Linked DNA regions of Notamacropus eugenii. The main gene of each other region encodes a partner of the protein of the gene in region 3 in a complex. Links are inferred from orthologs where the notes say so. Each region holds a gene or a part of one and is shown on either strand. Other genes may lie near its edges. The genes, in order: EIF2B1, EIF2B3 and EIF2B2.

Evidence for each region.
Region 1: the proteins of EIF2B2 (region 3) and EIF2B1 are in contact, whole or in part, in a cryo-EM structure (PDB 7F64), measured with the Homo sapiens proteins. The link is inferred for Notamacropus eugenii from reciprocal best matches to the Homo sapiens genes EIF2B2 and EIF2B1. Residues at the interface, in NP_055054.1 of Homo sapiens: Glu107, Ser108, Leu109, His110, Leu112, Leu113, Thr114, Ser115, Asn242, Phe278, Asn280, Glu281, Glu282, Ser334, Tyr337, Arg338; in NP_001405.1 of Homo sapiens: Leu71, Arg74, Phe75, Leu78, Arg96, Leu99, Phe100, Arg103, Lys110, Thr117, Phe118, Lys120, Ser232, Phe235, Leu283, Asp287, Leu288, Val290, Thr292, Ser294, Ala295, Asp298, Glu299, Leu300, Lys302, Leu303.
Region 2: EIF2B2 (region 3) and EIF2B3 share a complex: the UniProt entries of both Homo sapiens proteins name them as parts of the translation initiation factor 2B (eIF2B) complex. The link is inferred for Notamacropus eugenii from reciprocal best matches to the Homo sapiens genes EIF2B2 and EIF2B3.

Annotation. Positions count from the first base shown.
Region 1 is NC_092875.1:38,934,181-38,941,534, forward strand, and holds the start of EIF2B1 (translation initiation factor eIF2B subunit alpha), read right to left. Parts: upstream 3,076-7,354; coding exon 2,808-3,075; intron 1,677-2,807; coding exon 1,575-1,676; intron 811-1,574; coding exon 674-810; intron 585-673; coding exon 468-584; intron 1-467. Other genes in the region: GTF2H3 (general transcription factor IIH subunit 3), read left to right, coding at 3,074-3,086, 6,817-6,896.
Region 2 is NC_092873.1:506,431,260-506,438,745, forward strand, and holds the start of EIF2B3 (translation initiation factor eIF2B subunit gamma), read right to left. Parts: upstream 3,086-7,486; 5' UTR 3,036-3,085; coding exon 3,021-3,035; intron 1-3,020. UniProt on the Homo sapiens protein: Acts as a component of the translation initiation factor 2B (eIF2B) complex, which catalyzes the exchange of GDP for GTP on the eukaryotic initiation factor 2 (eIF2) complex gamma subunit.
Region 3 is NC_092878.1:57,859,297-57,866,810, reverse strand, and holds the start of EIF2B2 (translation initiation factor eIF2B subunit beta), read right to left. Parts: upstream 3,084-7,514; 5' UTR 2,993-3,083; coding exon 2,830-2,992; intron 2,732-2,829; coding exon 2,611-2,731; intron 2,076-2,610; coding exon 1,927-2,075; intron 725-1,926; coding exon 561-724; intron 1-560. UniProt on the Homo sapiens protein: Acts as a component of the translation initiation factor 2B (eIF2B) complex, which catalyzes the exchange of GDP for GTP on eukaryotic initiation factor 2 (eIF2) gamma subunit.

The DNA.
Region 1 (7,354 bases), on a different chromosome or scaffold from region 3:
CATCATTAAACCAAAGCAGAGGAACATACAGATATGTATGAACTATGCTAAAATGAATTTAATAAATGAAAGGCTTATATAACTTAACATGACTGTGTGTGTTCGATGAAACAGAGAGATGGTGAGGAAGTCAATGATCTCGTTTCTGGTCAGGTGAGATGATGTACAAGTCGACCCATGGCCCTTGAATTGTTTCAGTAATTACTAATGTACTTCAAAGGGGATAAACTCAGAGGGAGGTATTTAAGAGACAGAAGGTAATTAGACAACTGGTATGTGCACATATGATGACATGGATGTATACTGGTTAAGGGAAGCACCATCAAAGTTTGATTATCCTAGTAAAACACCAACTGAAATTGTTACTCCTGAGTCCCAGAGCCACAAAGCCCTTCCCAATACCTCATTACATAAGTCGTTACAACATTTTCTCCCACATAGCACTGATAACTCATGATTCCACTTACAGCTCCATCTTTAATGAAAGTATGGCACAGGTCGGCAATTTTACTTCTGGAAAGTGAGATCCTCCTGAGAAAGAGCTCTCCTCGCTCAATCATGATTGTTTTACACTTTAAGTAATCCTAGAAAAAGTGAAAGAGAAATCAAGGTAGAGGCTGTCCAGAGCCACGTAAAGAAGCACAAAAGCAGTCTGGACAGGACATGAACTCACTGAATACTCCAGGGAGGTGAGACTGATGAACCGAAGGAAGAGCTCTCCACCCGAGGAGACTGCCACAGAAGAATCTACGCTGCACAGGATTTTAATGGCATTTGTGAGATTTGCTCTCAAACCCTGAATTGTTCCTCCTGCAAAGTTCAATAGTACAATAAAACTTGCGTTTGGAAACTGATTCATCCTTTTATCTTACAGGACAATTATGTTACAAACAAAGATCTCTGAAATAGAGAGGGATTTCTTAGTCGACAGCTTCCTCCGTATTTTAGGATTTAGGGTTGGAAGGAATCTTAGAAGGCATCTAATCTCTTACTATACGAAAGAGAAAGCTGACAGCCTGAGAAGAAGTGACATTCCAAATGTTCTTTCCACAATATTCTGCTACTCTCACCTTGCAAAAGTAACCTGAGATTCTATGAAATCAGTCAAGTCTATGTCATTGGCACATCTCAGAGAATTAAGCTGAAGGGGTTACTAAGTACATGAACCCAATTTCTTTATCTGAGAATAAAAATCTGTTCTGCTAGTACAATGATTTGAGCTAAATACGTTTTGGAACAGAAAATGCTCAAATAAATTTACAGTATATCTCTATTCTGCAAATGAGCTCTCAAAGCACTATTCTATGGAAAAGGTTATGCATTTTATCTAAGAAAATAAGTACAAAGTCAAGGTCTCCTTTCTTATTAAGAGCCTGGCATAATGCTCCGTGAATAGTAGGTATTTAATTATTGAATGTTAGTTGATTATAACTGGGAATTGGGTCAAAATTAAATTGAGAACAGTCAAGAGTGAAGGGGCATGTGGCTATGCAAACTCACAGACACATAAGGCTTTCCAACATTTTTTTCCTGGAGAAAGGAATTTGGGGAACTGCTGACTGAGATCGTCTTACCTTGGTCTCTCTTTAAGAACTCAAGTAAGGTGCGGATGGCGGCCACAGCAGAAGCCACATCAGGATCTTCTTTCATTTGGGAATTAAAGTACTCAATCAAATCTGGGAAGGAGGGGACCATGGGAAGAAATACGTCAAGTTTCATTCGGCAGGCTGTATCACCTACAGCATCACCTGTGATGCCTGAGGACCCTCAGCCCCTAGGGTGAGTCCCAGGGTTAGAGGTAAGGAAATACAAACCCCTCATTTTACAGATGGAGGTCAAAATGAAGAGAAACTTCGGAGGAGAAGAGTATAGGAATTCAGATGGGTGACTCCAGATCCAGCGCTCTTACTGTAATACCAGGCATTCCTAGAGTGCCCGGGGGAAGCCACCACAGGCTCGTACCCTGAGGGCAATACTTTATCTCACACTTAAGGAAACGGAGACCCAGAAAAAGCAAAGTGCCCGACAGTCGGGAGGTCCCATTTGGCGGAGGGGCTTCGGCCCCCAATCCAGCAGCCTTTCCCAATCTCTCGGAGTCATCACTCCTGAATTACGAAGCCTCCCTGCTCTCCGAAATGACCCTGTGCCTATTCTGGATGTGCCTGCGAAGGTACTCCTGGTGCCAGCTAGCGCCCAGGGCGGTGCCCGGCACGCAGAGCCCAACTCAGAGGCGCCTCCTAAGTGCGAAGGAGCCCAAAGGGAGCCCGGGAGCTCCCGGTCCGGCGTGCAAACAGTGGCGCACAAACAAGGCGCAGCGGGGGCAGACTGGGGTGATGGGCAGAGGGAACTGGAAAGGTCTCTCGGCGAAGGTGCAGGGACGGAATGTGCACGCATGCGTGGACATCTGTATACACACGCTTATGTACACAGACACACGCCCACATGGATGCACGTGTACATATACACACGTGTACATGCGTGTAGGCGCACATACAGCAGATGGAAGGGACTTCCTGGGCCACCCCTTTTACAGATGAGTAAACTGAGGCCCAGGGAGGCCGGGGTTGGACCCAGATCCTCCACAGATTTAGAGCTTAAACCCCGCCGGTCCAACCTCTTCATCCTACAAAAGGGGAAACTGAGGCCCAAATCCAGCGTGCTCTCCTTTCTACGAATGGGGAAAGGTCCGGGGCGGGATTCACACCCAGGTCTTCCGGCCTCCAGGTCTAGCCCACCCTCCTTCGCTCTGGGGAGTCCCGGGTTCCAGCCCCCTTCGCCCCGAGTCCCGCGAGCCCGCCCCGCATTACCCGAGTCGTCCATGGCGCCGCGGCCACGAGGCCGTCCGCCTTTCCCCACAGCTATCCCGGGCGACCGGCCCGGTGACTGATAGTCCAGGCCGAGGCACGCACGGCCCGCCCACGGCGGGGCCGGGCCCAATTTCCCAGCAGCCCGCGTGTACGGCGGCCGGTAGAGGCCAAACTTCCTTCGACAGCTCGCGCCTGCGCAGAAGGCCAGGACAGTACGGTGGCCGCGGGGCTCCCGCGGCTCTCCGCTGAAGCGCAGGAGGTTCGCCATGATCTCCGAAGGTGAGCGCGCCCTGGGGCAAACAGGGAAGCCCCGGAGCCGGCGGAGCGGACCGGGGGCTGCGGCGGGGAGAGCGCCTGGAGGGGCCCAGAGCTGTGGAGGGGAAGGGTCGAGACTTAGGTGCAAATCCCGCCTCTTGGTGCTTAGCTACCTAGGGAAGCTCGGGCCAGGCCTTTCGTCCCCCTCCTGGGCCTCAGTTTCCTCCCCTGTAAGGTGAGGGAGAGAGCCCCGGCCTAGATTCAACCCCTCCATCCGACGCTTCCCAGACCCTTCCCCTCTCGGAGCCTCAGTTTCCTCCTCTAGACCCGAGGCTCCGATGGGCCAGCCAGCCTGAGGAAGCCTAGGAACCCCCTTCCAGAGTCAAGTTGTAAATGCATAAAATGCCCAAAGAAACCCAATTAAATTGAGGTCAAGCAAGGTCAAGGACCTTTGACCCGAAGCACCCGCCGGACTAGATGGTGTCCGAGGGTCCCTCCGGTCCTGTGACCTCTCTGAGCGACCTCGTCTTCTTTGAGGAGGCTGGTGATGCCCCGCCCCCACCCTCGCCCCATGTGTTCTGTTTGGGGGCTGTCTGGTTTTTTGTTTTGCCTTTTTTTGGGGGGGGTAGGGGTATCCCCAGTGCTGTGCACGGGCTGTGGCCCACGGCAGTTTAATAAATGCTCATTAACTCTATGAGTTGGAATGAGGACTTCTAAGGTCCTTTCCTGCATGGGCTGCAGGATGATGAATGAATGAAGGAGCACTTATCAAACGTTTACAATGTTGCCAAGCATTAGGGATAAAAAGAAACAAAGAGAACAATAGTGTTACAGTTGTAGCCAGGAAGACCTCAGTTTAAATACCTCTTCAGATACTTACTAGCTGTGTGACTCTGGGCAGGTCACTTACTGCCATTTGTCTCAGTTCTGGAGTCACAGGACGTGGGTTCAAATCCGACCTCTGAAACTTACTATAACTGGGTGACCTTGGGCAAGTCACTTCAGATGGGCAAGATCCACTCCCTGGGTTTCAATTTCTTCATTGATAAAGTGAAGAGCGAGGGATTGGACTAAACCTCTAGGCTCCCTGCCAGCTCTGTAGCTTTTATGTATCGCTGGGTGAGGGGAGGCAGTGCTTGGCTAGTCTGCAGCTCATAGGAGAAAGAACTGAGGGTCTCAGCACAGTTGGTACTTGTTTCTTTTGAAAGATCTAGGCAATTGTGCATTGAATTGAGGCGACTGCTGGTATTAGATGGAGGACAGCTGAGGGGCCCCTGGTGTTCAGGTCTGCTGGAGTGATGCTCCCAGGGGATATCTGGAGCACTGAGCACCCCAGTTTGGGAAGCACCCCAGAAGCCACAGTCAGCCCTTTCCAACTCTGGGATTTTACAAAATCATTCAAGTCACAGCTACTTTCAGGCTTGCAGAGCCCCATGAGGCAGCTTCTTTGGGCATCATTCCTCTGTTAAAGTGACTTACTTATGGTCATATAAGGGAAGCGTTAGAAGCAGGATTCAAACTCAGTCCTTCTTGGCTCCTAGCCCAGCACTCCCTCCGTTACACCACGTTGGTTACTATGTGAAATACACTGTGCTGGGTACCAGTGATTCACAGGCCAATAGTTTCTCTGCCCATGTATAACCCATATCAAATTGCTTGTTGTCTCAAGGAGTGGGGAGGGGAAAGAAGGAGAGAGAATTTGGAACTCAAAATTTTTTTTAAATGTTAAAAATTAGAATTGGAAAGACGTTTTTTAATTTAAAAGAAATATCAGTAGTCCTTGCCCTCAAGAAATTTACGTTCTGCTGTGAAGAATGTGACATGTAATGTTTTGCATGACTTCACATGTATAATGAGTATTATGTTGCTTGCCTTCTCAGTGGATGGGGGAAAGGCTGGAGGGAGGGAGAATTTAGATTAAAATAAAAATGTGGATGAAAATTTTAAAAGTAAATGTTAAAGAATAAGGTAACATAGGTCAGTTAGAGTGTTTGGTGGCCAGTGAGAGTGTACAGAGCTCTAGGAGTCTTTGAGGATAGCAAGAGTGCCCTTTTTCCCTCTCGTCCTCAGTTTCCCCATCTGTAAAATGAAATGCTTGGATTAGGTGCAGGGATCTGTAGGAGACTTTGGAGATCATTTAGTCGTCTAGCCCTTAAACCCCTTCACCATCTGGCTCCAGCCTATCTTTACCAAGTCATGGAATGTTACTCTCTCTTAGACATTCTGCATTGTTACCAGCTGTATTACCTTCTTGTTCCCTACTTTCCTCCTTCCACCTCCTGCCTCTACATGATGCTGAATGCTTTTCCTCCTAACTTCTACCTTGTAGAATCCCTAACTTACTTCATGGGCCAAACTGGACGCCACCATTACTTGGAGGTCTTTCCTGATCTCCCTAGTTGTTAGTACCCTTGCCTTGCCTCCCCCTAAAAAATTATTTTAGATTTCTTCCTTCTCTGATTTCTCCATCTGTGTTGCTTCCTCCCAGTAGATTGTAAGCACTTGAGAGTAGCAATCATTGCCTTTTGCCCTTGTCTCCCCAGTGCCTTGCACAGATACCTGGCATTTAGGAGTCTGCTGAATACTTGTTGAGTTATGTACAACAGCTTTATTTTACAGAAGATGAGTTAGAGACCCTGAGGGGTTAAAAAGTGGGAGTCCCCCCTCCCACCACGACTAAGTGCCAGAGCCAGGAGTCAAAAGCAGGTTTTTCTAGTAATTCTCCGTATGTTGTACCACACTGCCTCAGATGGTCACCAAGACCCCTTCCGGTTCTGACATTTTTTTATTTCTGTGAGGAAAAAACTGTCTGAAATTCCCCTTTCATATCCTGAGTGATCAGCCTAATCACTTTTTATAGTAGAACATGGGAATCCTTTGCTTTTTAACCCTGCATCCTGAGGAAAAGCTGTAACCAGAATATAGAATAAATAGAAAACCATTTCAGTGGGGCAAGAACACTGACACTTAAGGGGTCAGGAAAGGACTTTCTGGAGGAAGTGAGGGATTTTTTGTGGTATAGGTAAGAAGGAAGGAGGCACACAGAAGCCCAGAGGCAGGGGATGTGACATCATACGCAGAGAACAGCAAAGGTTTGTGTAAGTCTCTGCATTGATTCTTCATTTGGTGAACATTTATTAAGCATATCTGGTGCCTTGGCACCAGTACCAGTAGATACAAAATATATGTAAGGATGTGTGTGGGGGAGGTGGGGGGGTGTGTGTGTGGGTGTAGGTGAGGGTGTGGGTGTGGGTGGGTGTAGGTGGTTTGAGCTTAAGGCCTTTGATTGACTCCTTATCAAGGCTAGCTGATAGCCAGTTCTACTCCCTAAATCTCTTTTCTCACTTATACCAGGATTTCCACCTTAACTGATTTGCTTTTGAGATGCCCCAAAGCATTGCCCTCTCCTCTTAAACTCTAAAGGTGACTTGGATAACCCAGTAAGTTGTTAACACTTTAGGGTAAATAAGTTTTCCTAGCTTTTAGCCTTCATGACAAAAACAATTCCAGGCATCAAGTGCGTTGGACCGTTGGGTGTACAAGGAGAGAAGAGATGGCGTTTTCTATAGGCTGACCTCATCCTGGTTTTTAGAAGATCTTGGCCCTCTCCCCTGTGTAGACCCTCTTAACCTGCATTTCTGTAGAACAATAGATATTTATAAGCAGGTTGGTTGTAATTGAGCTGTGGATTAAACTGGTGAAATAGGAAATGTTAACTGTTTTTTGATCTTTCTCATGTTTCTTGTGATTTCAGATGATGAATTAAACCTTCTAGTTATCATAGTTGATACAAACCCAATTTGGTGGGGAAAACAAGCTTTGAAAGAATCTCAGGTAAAGTTCATTATGCTGAGGATTACTTTTTAAAATCTTAATACTAATTTAATTGAATATCTGAATTGCCATTTTGAAATTAAGATAAGGAATTTTGACTCTTGAAATGTCATTTAACTCAATATACTCTTTTGAATTTGTTTGTGGAAAAAGATATGCAGAATTTAAATTGTGAATGTTATGATATTTAAAATCAGTAAGCAAGCATTTAGTGCACACATAGCAGTAACTTAAACTATGAACACTCAAGATACGTTATATTTGTTTTCCAGGTGTGGTGCTGTACGCTTTGCAGGAATCTAGTGTTTATTCAGTGTAATGGGTAGAAATAGTCACATGTAAGAGAAAGAAGAAAAATACAATTTTCAGAAATTTTCAAATATTTTTACTTGAGCATTCCTGCAAAAACTTATGTTCCTTGGTTATTTAATTACAGATGTTGTTAAATTTAAGTATAG
Region 2 (7,486 bases), on a different chromosome or scaffold from region 3:
TCAGTCACTGAGAAGACAAACAATGCATCAATTATATCATGATATTAATTAATATCATGCAAAACATACTTTCATATTAGCTATATCATAAAACAAAGCAAAAAAAAGGAAATTATACTTCAATTTGTATTCAGAGTTCATCATTCTTTCTCTGGAGAGAGGATTTTTTTCATGATGAATTTTTTCATCATGAATCCTTTGGAATTGTCTTGGAACACTATATTGATTAGAGTAGCCAAGTTTGTGTGTGTGTATGTGTATATATGTGTGTATATACATATATATGTGTATATACACGTGTGTGTGTGTGTGTGTGTTTATAAACACTGCTGGTACTGTGCACAATTTCTCCTGGTTTTGCTCACTTCACTTTGCATTATTTCATAGTGGTCTTACTATGTTTTTCTGAAATCACCTCCCTCCTTGTCATTTCTTATAGTACTCCATCACAATCATGATACAATATGTTCAGACATTCCCCAACTGGAGGGCCAGTCCTCGATATTCAATCTTTTGCCACCACAAAAAGAGCTGCTATAAATATTTTTGTACATATGGGTCCTTTTCCTTTTTCTCTGATCTCTCTGGGATACAGACCTAGTAGTGATACTGCTGGATCAAAGAGCATGCCTTTGTCATTTTTGATAGGTGTGAGGTGGTACTTAAGAGTTGTTTAATTTGCCTTTCTCTAATTAATAGAGATTTGAACTATCTTTTCACATGATTATAGAGTGCTTTGATTTCTTCTTCTGAAAACTGCCTGCTCATATCCTTTGACAATTTATCAATTGGGAAATGGCTCTTATTTTTATACATATGGCTCAGTTCTTCATATACTTGAAAAATGAGGCCTTTATTGGAGAAACTTGGTGTAAAAATTTTTTATGTTACTTCATTGTCGATGGTACCTTTCAGAAAACTCTAGTTTCTCTGGTCCTCTCTTTTAAGTAGGTCTACTTTTGCTTCGCTTTGTCTGAGACCATCATAGCTACCCTTACCTTTTTTCACTTCAGCTGAAGTGTATTAGATTCTGCTCCAGCCCTATTTCTTTAATTCTGTATGTCTTTCATGTGTGTTTTAAATGTGTCTCTTGAACATAACATATTGCTGAATTCTGGTTTCTAACCAATTCTGTTATCTGATTCCATTATGGGTTAGCTCATCCCATTCACATTCCCAATTATGATTACTGTGTATTTCCCTCCATGTTATTTTCTTCCATTTATCCTTCTCTATCTTTTTATCCTGTCCCTTCTCAAAAGTCTGTTTTGCTTCTGACTGCCTCTCTTAACCCAACCTCCCTTTTATCATTCCCCTTCTCCCATATCTCTTATCCCCTTCTCTTATTTCCCCTTTAGGTGAGATAGATTTCTATACACAACTGAGCATGTACACATATTCTTCCCTCTTTGAACCAGTTCTGATGAAAGTGAGGTTTCTTCCAAGCCTCTTTTATGTGAGAAAATTTTCCCCACTCTACTTTTCCCTTTTCCTTTCTCCCAGGGCAACCCTTTTTCTCACCCCCCCCCCTTTTTTGGGAGATGATCCAACATAATCCACTAAAAACCCTAACCTCACTCTATGTAGACTCCTCCTAACTGCCCTAATGATGATAAGGTTCCCAGGCGGCCAGCAAAGTTGTCCAACTAGTTGTCCAATCCCTTAATGTCCAACTCTACCATCTTGGCTCTGCCCCTCCCCCATGGCCTTTTCTCAGTCTTCATTCTTCTTTCCCTGTCTCCAGCATCTGACACTGTCCTTCACCCTCTTCTCCTTGATAATCTCTTTCTCTGGGTTTTCAGGCCACCATTTTCTGCTGGTTCTCCTCCTACCTATCTGACCAGCCCTCAGTCTCCTTCGCTAGTTCTTCACTCAAGTGGAGATGTCTCACAGTGGCTATCTCTTAGGGCTTTGTCCTGGGATCCTCTTCTCTTTTCCTTCTATACTGTTTTATTTAGTGATCTCATCATCTCCTTATGAATTCAAGTATCATCTATGCAAATGATTTTCAGATCTACTTAATCAAACCTAACCTCCTGGCTGAACTACAGACTCACATCTTTGACTGCCTATTGGATATCTCCAACTACAAAGGTCCCATAAACATCTTAAACACAACATGACCAAAACTGAACTCATTATATTTTTCCCCAAAATCCCTCCTTCTTTCTGAGTTTCCCCTTACAGTCGAGGGCATCACCATTTTTCCAGTCACCCAGGTCCTCAACTGAGGAGCCACATCCAATTAGTTACCAAGGCCTATCTATCCTCCCTTCTTACTGTCTCTGAACAACATGTACTCCTTCCTCCCCTCCCATGCTTTCACACACAGCCCCACCTCACCTTGACCCCCACCTGGTACAGGCTTTCTCCTTCTCTTATGCCTAGACTATTGCTGCAACAGCTTGCAGGTGGGTCTTCCTGCCACATTCCCCAAGGCAGTTCATCCTCTACTCAGGTACCTGGGTGAACTTCCTAAAGCACAAGTCTGACTATGTCACAGAAACACACTCACCCTCAATAAACTCCAGTGGTTTCAGAAGTTCACCTCCAAGATCAAAAAATAATATCCTGTTTGGCGTTTAAAGACCTTCATGACCTGCCCCATCGCCACCCCCTCCCCTCCCATGGAGCTGCACTAGCCTCCTGGTTGTTTCTGCCACAAGATGCTCCATCTCCCAAACCTCTGCATTTTCCCTGGCATCCTCCATGCCTGGAAGGCAGTCCTCATCTCTGCCTCCTGCCTCCTGGCTTCCTTCAAAGCCTAGCTAAAACACCACTTTTCCTGATTTCCCCACAAAGATCGGGGTACCACCATGCCAGCCTGAGCCTTGGGCAGCCAATGGCTCCTCTGCAAATACAACACTGCCCAAAGGGGAAGTTTCTGGGGTAGGCTGGCAGAGCTGCCCATCCAAGTGCTCCACCTCTCTCAGTTGCTGCACCACTGCAAGACTTGGTGCTACTGAGCTCAGATGAGCTCCACCAACTCCGGCCATGGGCTTCAGAGGCCACAGACTCACCTGGACACTGGACATTGGAAGGTGGGGCAGAGGAAGACCCCAGGCGGCGCTGCCACAAGCCTGGCAGATGGCGACCTGGCCAGGGACCACCAAGCCTACTCACTTCACAGATTATACATCCATGGACCCATTCAGGGACCCCAGGGCTGCTGCACGGACTGACCCTCCCCCCAGGCCAGAGACCCTGGTGCCCCCCAGACTGACCCTCCCCCCAGTCAGGGACCCCAGGGCTGCTGCACGGACTGACCCTCCCCTAGAGACCGTGGTGCCCCCCCCAGACTGACCCTCCCCCCAGTCAGGGATCCCGGGGCTGCCACACGGACTGACCCTCCCCTAGAGACCCTGGTGCCCCCCCCCAGACTGACCCTCCCCCCAGTCAGGGACCCCAGGGCTGCTGCACGGACTGACCCTCCCCTAGAGACCCTGGTGCCCCCCCCCCAGACTGACCCTCCCCCCAGTCAGGGACCCCAGGGCTGCTGCACGGACTGACCCTCCCCTAGAGACCCTGGTGCCCCCCAGACTGACCCTCCCCCCAGCCAGGACCCGGGGCTCCCCGGCCCTCCGATCGTGCCCTCTCCCGGGCTCTCTGAGCCCTCACACACAGACAGCACCCAGGCCACCCCCAGCTTCACCTCTCCTTCAGCCTCCAGTCACACGCCAAACTGACAGCCCAATGGCGACCACGAGGCTACTGCGCTTGCGCAGAGAGCCTACTCCGCATCGATCAGCCAGGGGCGGGGCCAGGAGAGAGGACCAGCCCAAAATAAGCGAGCGCCGAACAGAGGATCCTGAATCCCTGCGGCTAGAGGAGGAGAGGGCAGAGAGGGAGGCGGGAGAGGGCGGGGGGAGCGGATCCTCGGAGCCGGGTGCAGAGCCGCCGAGGGCACCCTGCGGCGACAGCGAGCTCACCACCTGCCGAGCAGCCGAGAAGGCGAGCCGGGCCGGCCCGGGGACAGCAGCGGCAGTGCCGGGGAACTTCCCGGCTTCCCAGGCCGGGGCTCGGTTGTCCCCTTCTCCGGCCGGTCCTGGCCCCTCCCAAGCCGCGCAATCGCCCCGCTTTCGGGGTGACCGGCCCCAGACTGCGGCTGTGGGAAACCTCTGAGTCCCGGGGCAGCAGCGCCAAGCCGGCCCACCCCTCCAGCCTTCGCTGACCCCCCACTCTGGGCCAGGTACCGAGGGGGATCCTCTCCCCTTGCTCCATCTCGCGCGCACCCCTAGCTTCCAGAGCCGGCCCAAGTAACAAGCCACACTCCACGAAAGCAACACAGCGAGAGTAAGCTGTTTGTCAGGACGTGTGACCCCCTGCTGGGCGCTCGGCGGCTGTCCCAGGTACCCATCGGGCCACTGCCCTCGGGTGAGCAGTTGTGTCCTGTTTGCAAGGCTTCAGAAATGCCTGGCATCACTTTACCAACAACTGACCGATTTGTCCACCAGGTGGCAACACATTCACCCCGACAGCCAAGTGGACCCTTGTGTGTTTCCAGCAGCCCGGCTTGCGTCTCCTCACATGCTCCCACCAGGGGACCCCCTAAATGCCTGCCTGCGTCTCACTAGGCTAAGGTTTCTTAGCAGCTGGCAGTCCAGCCCCCTCCCTACCTGCTCACTGTTCTCTCTGGCCAGTGCAGAGCCTTGGTCTCATCTTGTCCAGCCCCTCTTGTCCACTCTGTGTGTACAAAGCTCCCAGGATCCCTCCGGATTCTGCCTTTATTGGGCTGGTGGAATGGCCCTGTCCCGAGCTGTGTGTGTGCCTCATTCCACCCACCCCACAATCCATCACCTCTGTCAGGACTATGCTGGGAAGAAGACTTTGCCATCAGTCTCCTGGAGCTGCTCAGAGTCCTGAAGTCTTCCCAAGATACTTTTCTTTACCATGTTGTTACTGTATCGCTTCTAGTTCTGCCCCCTTCCCTCTAGCTCCATTTATACAAATCATTCCAGGTTTCTCTGAAACCCTCGCCTTTACTATTTCTCATGGCAAAATAATATTCTATCACATTCATATACCATAACTTTTTCATCCATTCCCTAATTGATGGGCATCCCCTGCGTTTTCAGTTCTTGGCCACCACAAGGAGCCAGTATAAATGTCTTTGTACCTGTCAGTCCTTTTCTTCTTTCTCTCTAGACAACAGATGTGGTAATGCTCTTCCTCGTTCTTTATGTATGTAGCACACCAAGGACTAAGTTAGAGTCCAAATGTGGTGGTTCCACAATTCCTGATGAAGAGAACAGTTTGTTAAAGACAGATCTTTTCTACTTTTCAAATGTTCTTAAGGAACTGGGTCACTCCCTAAGCTTTCTAGAGACTCATTTTCCCTCCATTTCTTCTGTTTTGTTAGGTGATATGATTCATAATCTTCTACTGTCCTCCTCTGTAAGATTTTCCAATGAGTTTATATTCTAACCTGTCTTTTCCCTGTTGGCTGGATTTTCTTGATAGATATATATAGTTCAGTTGTTTTTTTCAGTCGTGTCTGATTTTTCCTGATCCCATTTGAGGTTTTCTTGGCAAAGATCCTGGAGTGCTTTGCCATTTGCTTCTCCAGCTCATTTTATAGATGAGGAAACTGAGGCAAACGGGGTTAAGTGACTTGCCTAGATTCTAGTGCCTGAGGCCAGATTTGAACTCAGGTCTTCTTGATTCCAGGGTTAATGCTCTATCCACTTTGCCACCAAACTGCTCCCTCTTGATGAGATGGAGAAAATGTTTACTTGCTGCAGCAGTTTCTCAAATCATTGAGCCACTTCATCGTGGTGATCGATTTGCATAAATCAATTACACTTCCTTAGGAAACATTGATGATCTATGCCAATTTCTGTTCCTTTATTCCAATCTCATTTTTCATTGTCAATATGCTTATTCAAATAGGTCAGGTCGGAACTGTATTGCAACACACTATATCTTCTCAATTTTATTCTCAATTCTGAACTTGGCTCTAACAAATGGCTAGTTTGGTTGCACACACATAGTTGATTTTAGAATGTTTCCATATTGGTAACTAGTCTTTTCCTTTTTGTTAAGATATAGTCAATTTCATTTTTTGTGGTTATTTAGCAATTCTCCATGTCTAGTGCCCTAGATTTTCTTCTTTTTTTTCTATTACATTTTCATTTACTGTATTAAATATTTTCCAATTATATTTTTATTACTGAAACTTAATTACAAAATAAGAAAAAGAGAGGATATCATATGCACAGCAGAATGTAAAAAAGAATTCAAAACATATAGCAATAAATTTCCATTTCAAGAAAGCCTGTATAATAAATACTACACGTTGCGTTGAGAGCTATCCATCTTTTCTTTGCTTCCTTATTCTCTGTTATGTCCCTTTTACTTTGTTCTTTTTTCCCATTCCTTCCCCCTGCTCCCCCAGAAGACTACAATTAAGTGCTGATATATTTGTATATTGATATAAATACCTGGATTTTCTTCTTAAAGAAATTGTTCATGGTATAAAACATTGAGGCTTCAGTTTTTCCCACAAGCCCTTGGACTCATTTCTTTTTTTCTCCAAATTTATTAATGTCTTCAGTTTTCAACAATCACTCCCATAAGTGCCAAATTTTCTCCTCCTCGCTCCCCAAGATGGCATGCAATCTTATATGGACTCCACACATACATTCCTATTAAACGCATTTTCACATTAGTCATGTTGCATAGAAGACTTAAAATGAATGAGAGAAAACAAAACAAAACATAACAAAAGAGAAAATAGTCTGCTTCATTCTGCATTCGGATTCCATAGTTGTTTCTCTGGATGTGGATGGCGTTTTGCATCATATGGACTCATTTCTTAATCTTGAGTCATATGTGATGGGAAAATAAGAATGCTACCTCACATTTCGGTAGTGCTTTATAATGAAACTTGATAGCAATCTTCCTTCCCAACAAACCTTAAATGTCTGATATGATTTGTTTTTTGTTGGCTTTTTCTGGTAGGAGAGGAGGAAGACTTGGGCAGGGGAAAAGAGTTGACTAAAAAAAGTCAAAGAAAGAAAAAATCCACAGAAGAGAACAGCAAGGAGAAAGGGAAGCCAAAAGAAATTAAACTCTCAGTTCCAGGGAGGCCAGACTTAAGGGTAACTCTCTAGCAATCTCCATGATGCCTCATTGTCTATGAAATAATATGTGTTTATGAAATAGTAAAATGAGGAGCCCAGTTTTACATTTGGGAATTTTCCCCATGGTGCTGTAGCTTTGTTTTATTTTCAACATTACAGGCTCTTGGAAAGGCCCCCAAAGCTGTGGTGTCAAGGGCCCCCAAAGAGTCCCTATCTACTTCCACACCTGGCTGGCCCGGCAGATTAGATCTGGGCTGAGCTTGGCCTCTGTCCCAGACCTCTGCTAGCATTAATGTGAAACTCATTGGCTTTTCCAGGCAATTAATGAAATGATTCTATAGATTTCTGCTTTACATGATTATTTCATATTCCTTATTCTCTCCCAGGTTGCTGGGAAGGGGGCT
Region 3 (7,514 bases):
GCACCAATCATTTCTAAAGTTCCTTGCCCTATTTAGATCCCTACACCACTGACTTAAAGCCAAAAGGAGCCTTTGAGACCATTAACTTCAGCTGCCTCGTACTTCATATGAAGAAAAAGAGGGCCAGGGAGATTGTGACTTCCCCAAGGTCACAATGATAGTAAGGGACAGAGCTGGTATTTGAATCCAGATCCTGACTCCAAAGCCAATGCTCTTTCCACTACAATGTGCCGTCTCAACTCTTATGTCCTAAGCTCTGCAATTCACTACTGCTTTCTCAAACCAACTATCACACAATTTTTGACCAGTCATGTGATTTCACTTCTGATGAGGCAACTCCCTCTCCCAACACAGATGCAGGTACAAGACATATCAGCTTTTAGTTAATTCCACTAACGTCTCACTATATAGAGTTATCTTGATTTTTTTCATTATATCAGACACTTTCCCCCCAAGTCATCATTACCCCTTGCTTACCAATTCAGTCAGAATGGATCCAACCACCCCTTCCTTTACTACCTCCTCCCATCTTTCTCAATTTTCTGTAGCTCCTTCAGTACCTGGCAGAAAGGAGCACACTCTGCCACAATAACATGAAATTTCCGCTTTTGGGCAGCCACTTTGAGGAACTCTTCCACGGTCCGGGAGTATCCAATGGTCATGATCACCTCATTGGAGTGAATGTGCTCCAGAGCCTGCATTGCTATGTTCTCCGTTGTCCCTTCTGCAAGTACAATCAATTTACAGGAAAATTAGACACCAAGTTGGGAAGAAAGATTTGTGTCCTTGGCACAACATTCCACCAGCACACATTACAGGGAAACTACACCTTGGGGCACCACATCAAAAATGTCTGAAATGAAAAGTTACAAAAGCCGAATTTTTACTCCTAATCAGACAAGTGCAGCCACCTTGCCCCCTCTGGTATCCTCTACAAAAACCCACCCCTATTTCAAGCCCATGTCACTGTAGCTACTGCGATATATACTAGCTCCTTTTGGGGCAACTGGTTCTGAAGATAATGATTATCTAATCAAGAAAATTTTCAATCTGTCAAACCTAAAATTGCTGAAGAAGGGGAAAGTGGAATTTCCATTAAAAGGTTCTCTTTCCAAAAAAAGCTACAAGTCAGTATCACTGCATGCCAGAAAGACCCCAAGGGAAAACACAGGTGGGGAGGAAACACTAAAAACAAAAGCACATGAAACTGAGATGCTAAAGGGCACTGTTATTTCTCTGATGAACTTTTGCAAATCTCCAGAGACCATGTTTAGTGAAGCAACATCACAATAAAAGCGATAATCACAGATAATGTTTACACACAGTGCGCTAGGCTTTACAAATACTCTTTTATTTGATCTTTATCACAACTCCGAGGTACTGCTATAACTATTTTATAGTTTTTATTTCATAATATATACACATGCACATATATGTGTGTGTACATGAATAATTATAAATGAAAAGCTTCCTGACTTTGACTGTGACAAGTTAACAGATTTGGTCAGGGGCACAGGGCTAGTAAATATCTGAGACTGCATTCAAACTCAGGTCTTTCTGCCTCTCAGTTCGGCACTCCATCCGCTACACCACGTAACTCCTCTAAGAAGAAAGGCCTACTAACCATGGTTTGAGTATCGCTTTCTCATATACAAACCCAAAGCACCGTCTCACCCTCTGAATCTATTTATTCATTTATTCCTGTATTGGTGTGAGTTCAATTTATTTACTGAGTCTCTCTCTGCCGGCTCAGCTCAGGGATCCGAAGTCCGCTATTGGTCTGCTAAGCACCCAACGAGCCCCATATTTCAACCCTTGCTTCCGACTAAAGAGCCCAGGAGAAGAGGTCAGAAGACCTGCAGACCAGACTACTTTCTGTCCATGTCGCCAGTCAGCCCCGAAGCCCGGGCCCAGCCACGCACTCACCCAGCTCTATCAACAGCTCGCTGATAACCTCAATGATGTTGGCCTGGAGCTGGGCAGAGTGGAGGCTGAAGTCCTCATTCAGGCCCCCAGCGGTCAGCAGCTTGTGTAAGGACTCCTGCTGGTCGCTCTCGTCGCTGCGTCCGTGGAGCCTGGGGAGATAAGACGGCATCAGAGGGGCGGGCACGGAGAAAGGCTCTTGGGAGAGGCGGGCACGGAGAAAGGCTCTTGGGAGGGGCAGCAAGTGCCAAGATGGTACAACGGGAAGTGGCCCACATCTCCTGCATTAGTGACCGAAAGATGCAGAGGCCAGGGCGGGAGCTCGGCCTCCAACCCGACCCTGCCTCGAGTCCAGCCCGCTCGTCCCCGCATCACAGAACCTCAGAGGTTAAGGCCCAGAGAAACAGCGCCTTCCCCAGGTGGCGGAGTCAGGGGCTGGCAAGGGACGGGAGCCACACGTGCCTTGGCACTGTCTGCACACACCCGCCACCGCTCGCACCCCACTTCCCCGCCGATTCCAGCTAGAGTGGATTCTGTCCCTCCGGGCCGTCAGCTCCCTGGGGGCAGGGCTGTCTTTTCGCCTCTCTTTGTAGGCCGAGCGCAGTGGCTGGCAAACAGTGGGCGCCGAATGAATGCTTACTACCGGCGGGGGGCGGGGGAGGGGGCTGGGCCGCCGGGGCCGCTGACCTGCCGTACTCCTCGCGGATGATCTTGAGCACCCTCCGAACCATGTTGCCCACGGTGGTCTCCGAGGGCTGCGCGGCCGTCATCCGCCGGCCCTCCTTCCGGATGAGCGCCATCAGCTCCCCTGCAGCCAGGGAGGGAACAGCGTGAGCGCAGGGCTGGCGGGGCTGGTCCTCCCCCCGACCCCCGAGGCCGCCCCGGCCTCTCCCGCCGCGCCCTCACCGGCGTTGCTCCAGCACCCGTGGGCCACGATCTGGCGGAGCAGCCCCACCGTCTCCCGGGCCATCTCCTCGGAGCTGCGCTGGCCCCCGCCCCGCTTCAGCGCCTCCACGAAACTCTCGATCCGCTCGGACAGCTCCGTCCCTTTGTCAGCGGCGCCCGGCATCTCGAGGACTGACAGCTCCACGGGAGAACCGACGGCAGGAGGGCCGAGAGAACGACGCAGCCTTCTACTTCCAGGGCGATCAGGGTATGCTTCCGGTCCTCGCGCGCGCTGCCCCGCCCCCTCCTCGTGCTGCCTCCTCCTTGGAACCAATCAGAGACTTGAGGCTCTGCGCCCGTTTGCCATTCGTAAGGAGAAACGGAAGTGTGAATGAATGCTCCCTCACCTGGTAATATCTGTCCCCAAGTCCTCCAGGCTCTATGACCTGTCGCTATGGAAACGGCAAGCCAGGCTTTCCCCTTTCGTCTCTGCGTGGAGCTCAATGAAGTTTGGCTCCTCCATGGCGGTGGCACAGAATCTCAAAGCCAACTCATATCCAGAATATAAATGGCATCCGATGGCGGTGGTTATCCGATGGACCTGGATACATTTTTCCCCCTGTTCAATGGTATTTTATTTTTTCTAGTTACATGGAAAGGTAAATTTTCAACATTCCCTTTTATAAAATTTTCAGTTCCTTTTTTTAAAATTTTATTTATTTAACTTTTAACACTCATTTTCACAAGATTTTGGGTTCCGAATTTTCTCCCCTTTTGTCCCCTCCTCCCCCACCCCAAAACACCAAGCATTCTAATTGCCCCTATGACCAATCTGCCCTCTCTTCTATCCTCCCTCTCTGGCCTTGTCTCCATCTTCTCTTTTGCCCTGTAGGGCCACATAACTTTCTATACCCCTTTACCTGTATTTCTTATTTCCTAGTAGCAAGAACAATACTCGACAGTTGTTCCTAAAACTTTGAGTTCCAACTTCTCTTCCTCCCTCCCTCCCCACCCCCTCCCTTTGGAAGGCAGGCAATTCAATATAGGCCAAATCTGTGTAGTTTCGCAAATGACTTCCATAATAGTCGTGTTGTGTAAGACTAACTATATTTCCCTCCATCCTATCCTGCCCCCCATTGCTTCTATTCTCTCTTTTGATCCTGTCCCTCTCCATGAGTGTCGACCTCAAATTGCTCCCTCCTCCCCATGCCCTCCCTTACATCATCCCCCCCACCCTGCTTATCCCCTTATCCCCCACTTTCCTGTATTGTAAGATAGGTTTTCATACCAAAATGAGTGTGCATTTTATTCCTTTGTTTAGTGGAATGTGATGAGAGTAAGCTTCATTTTTTTTCTCTCACCTCTCCCCTTTTTCCCTCCACTGAAAAGTCTTTTGCTTGCCTCTTTTATGAGAGATAATTTGCCCCATTCCATTTCTCCCTTTCTCCTCCCAATATATTTCTCTCTCACTGCTTTCATTTTTTTTAAAGATATGATCCCATCCTATTTCATTCACTCTGTGCTCTTTGTCTCTGTGTGTGCGTGCACATGCGTGTGTGTATGTGTATGTAATCCCACCTACCCAGATACTGAAAAGTTTCAAGAGTTACAAATATTGTCTTTCCATGTAGGAATGTAAACAGTTCAACTTTAGTAAGTCCCTTATGATTTCTCTTTCCTATTTTACCTTTTCATGCTTCTCTTCATTCTTGTGTTTGAAAGTCAAATTTTCTTTTTCTTTTCTGGTCTTTTCATCAAGAATGCTTGAAAGTCCCCAATTTCATTGAAAGACCATTTTTTCCCCTGAAGTATTATACTCAGTTTTGCTGGGTAGGTGATTCTTGGTTTTAGTCCTAGTTCCTTTGACTTCCTTAATGTAGAAGCTGCTAGATCTTGTGTTATCCTGATTGCATTTCCACAATACTTGAATTGTTTCTTTCTAGCTGCTTGCAATATTTTCTCCTTGACCTGGGAACTCTGGAATTGGCCACAATGTTCCTAGGAGTTTCTCTTTTTGGATCTCTTTCAGGCGGTGATCTGTGGATTCCTTGAATACTTATTTTGCCCTCTGGTTCTAGAATATCAGGGCAGTTTTCCTTGATAATTTCATGAAAGATGATGTCTAGGCTCTTTTTTTGATCATGGCTTTCAGGTAGGCCCATAATTTTTAAATTGTCTCTCCTGGATCTATTTTCCAGGTCAGTTGTTTTTCCAATGAGATATTTCACATTATCTTCCATTTTTTCATTCTTTTGGTTTTGTTTTGTGATTTCTTGGTTTCTCATAAAGTCATTGGCCTCCATCTGTTCCATTCTAATTTTGAAAGAACTATTTTCTTCAGTGAGCTTTTGAACCTCCTTTTCCATTTGGCTAATTCTGCTTTTGAAAGCATTCTTCTCCTCACTGACTTTTTGAACCTCTTTTGCCAATTGAGTTAGCCTATTTTTCAAGGTGTTATTTTCTTCAGCATGTTTTTGGGTCTCCTTTAGCAAGGTGTTGACCTGCTTTTCATGCTTTTCTTGCATCTCTCTCATTTCTCTTCCCAGTTTTTCCTCCACCTCTCTAACTTGATTTTCAAAATCCTTTTTGAGCTCTTCCATGGCCTGAGCCTATTGAATATTTATTCTGGATGTTTGGGATACAGAAGCCTTGATTTCTATGTCTTTCCCTGATGGTAAGCGTTGTTCTTCCTCATCAGAAAGGAAGGGAGGAGATATATGTTCACCAAGAAAGTAACCTTCTATGGTCTTATTTTTTTTCCCTTTTCTGGGCATTTTCCCAGTAGGTTACTTGACTTCTGAGTGTCCTCTCCACACCCACCTGGCCTCCAGATCCACCCAGCCTCTACCCAGCCAGCACTTGGGGTCTGAGATTCAAATGCTGCTTCCCAGCCTTAGGGCTTTGGCGGGGGTGGGGTTGCTATTCAGTGTGAGATTAAGTTCAGGTGCTCAGGTGGGGGCAGGGCCACCTCACGGGGCTCAGTTCCCTCAGGGGGTTTATGCAGAGATCTTCAACAATGGATCCGAGCTTCTGCCTGCTCTGGGGGCCCTTGTCCGCTGCTGCCTCTGCTGCTGCTTCCAGAGGGGGCCTGAGTTATAGGGGCACCCCACTCCCCTCTCCTCAAACTGAAAAGCCCCTCTCACTGACCTTTGCCTCGTGTGGGTGGAGAGACCTGCTCGGCTGCTGGAGATTCTGTCCCTGAAGCCTGCTCGGATCTGCTCCTCTTGGTGCCTTGCGGCGAAGCCAGGGCTGGGCTCTGCTCCGGGTCTGGTGCGGGAGGGACCTTTCGGGTCAGTTTTTCAGGTCTCTCTGGAACAGAAATCTCCTCTGCTCCGTTGTTGTGTGGCTTCTGCTGCTCCCGAATTTGTTGGGAGTTCTTCTTTATAGGTATTTTATGGGCTGTGGGTTTGGAGCTAGCATATGTGTGTCTTTCTACCCTGCCATCTTGGCTCCTCCCCCAAGATTTTCAGTTCCATTTTTTTCTCCTTTCCTCCTTCTTTTCTCTCCTCCCCAAGACAGCAAGCAATCTGATGTAGGTTCTACATGTAAAATCATATTAAACAAATTTCCACAATAGTCATGTTGTGAAAGAAGACTAGGAACAAAAGGGGAAAACTATGAGAAAGGAAAAAAAAGTGAAAATGGTCTGCTTTGATCTGCATTGAAGCTTCCTAGTTCTTTTCACGATGGGCTGGCATTTTCCATCATGAGTCCTTTGGAATTGTCTTAGAACCTTGCCAAGTCTATCCAAGCTGATCATTGCACAGTGTTGCTGTCACCAGGCACCACGTTCTGGCTCTGCGCACATGACTCAAGATCAGTTCGTGTAAGTCTTTCCATGTTTTTTTTCCCTGAAATCTGCCCGTTCATCATTTCTTATGGCACAGTAGTATTCCATTACATCCATAAACCACAATTTGTTCAGCCCCAATGGATGGGCATCCCTTCAAATTTCCAATTCTTGGCCATCACAAAGAGAGTTTCTATAAACATTTTTGTACATCTGGGTCCTTTTCCATTTTTTTATGATCTCTTTGGCATTCAGTCGTGATAATGTATTGCTGGGTCAAAGGGTATGCACAATTTTGTAGCCCTTTGGACATAGTTCTAAATTGCTCTCCAGAACGGTTGGATCAGCTCACAGCTCCTCTAACAATGCATTAGTGTTCCAACTCTCCCACACCTTCTACAACATTGATCATTTTCCTGTTCTGTCATGTTAGCCAATCTGATAGGTGTGAGGTGGTACTTCAGAGTTGTTTTAGTTTGCATTTCTTTAATCAAGAGTGATTGAGAGCATTTTTTCATATGACTATAGATAGCTTTAATTTCTTCATCTGAAAACTGCCTGTTTATATCCTATGACCATTTATCAGTTGGGGAATGATTTGTATTCTTACAAATTTGACTCAGTTCTCTATATATTTGAGAAATGAGGACTTTATCAGAAACACTGGCAGTAAAAGTTGTTTCCCAGTTTTCTGCTTTCCTTCTAATCTTGATTGCCTGGGCTTTGTTTGTGCAAAGACTTCTTAATTTGATGTCATCAGAACTACCCATTTTGCATTTCAAAATGTTTTCTACATTATTTGGTTATAAATTCTTCCTTTTTCCATAGATCTGATAGGTAAACTATTCCCTGCTCTTCTAATTTGCTTATCACCTTTTATGTCTAAATCATGTACCCATTTGATCTTCTCTTGGTA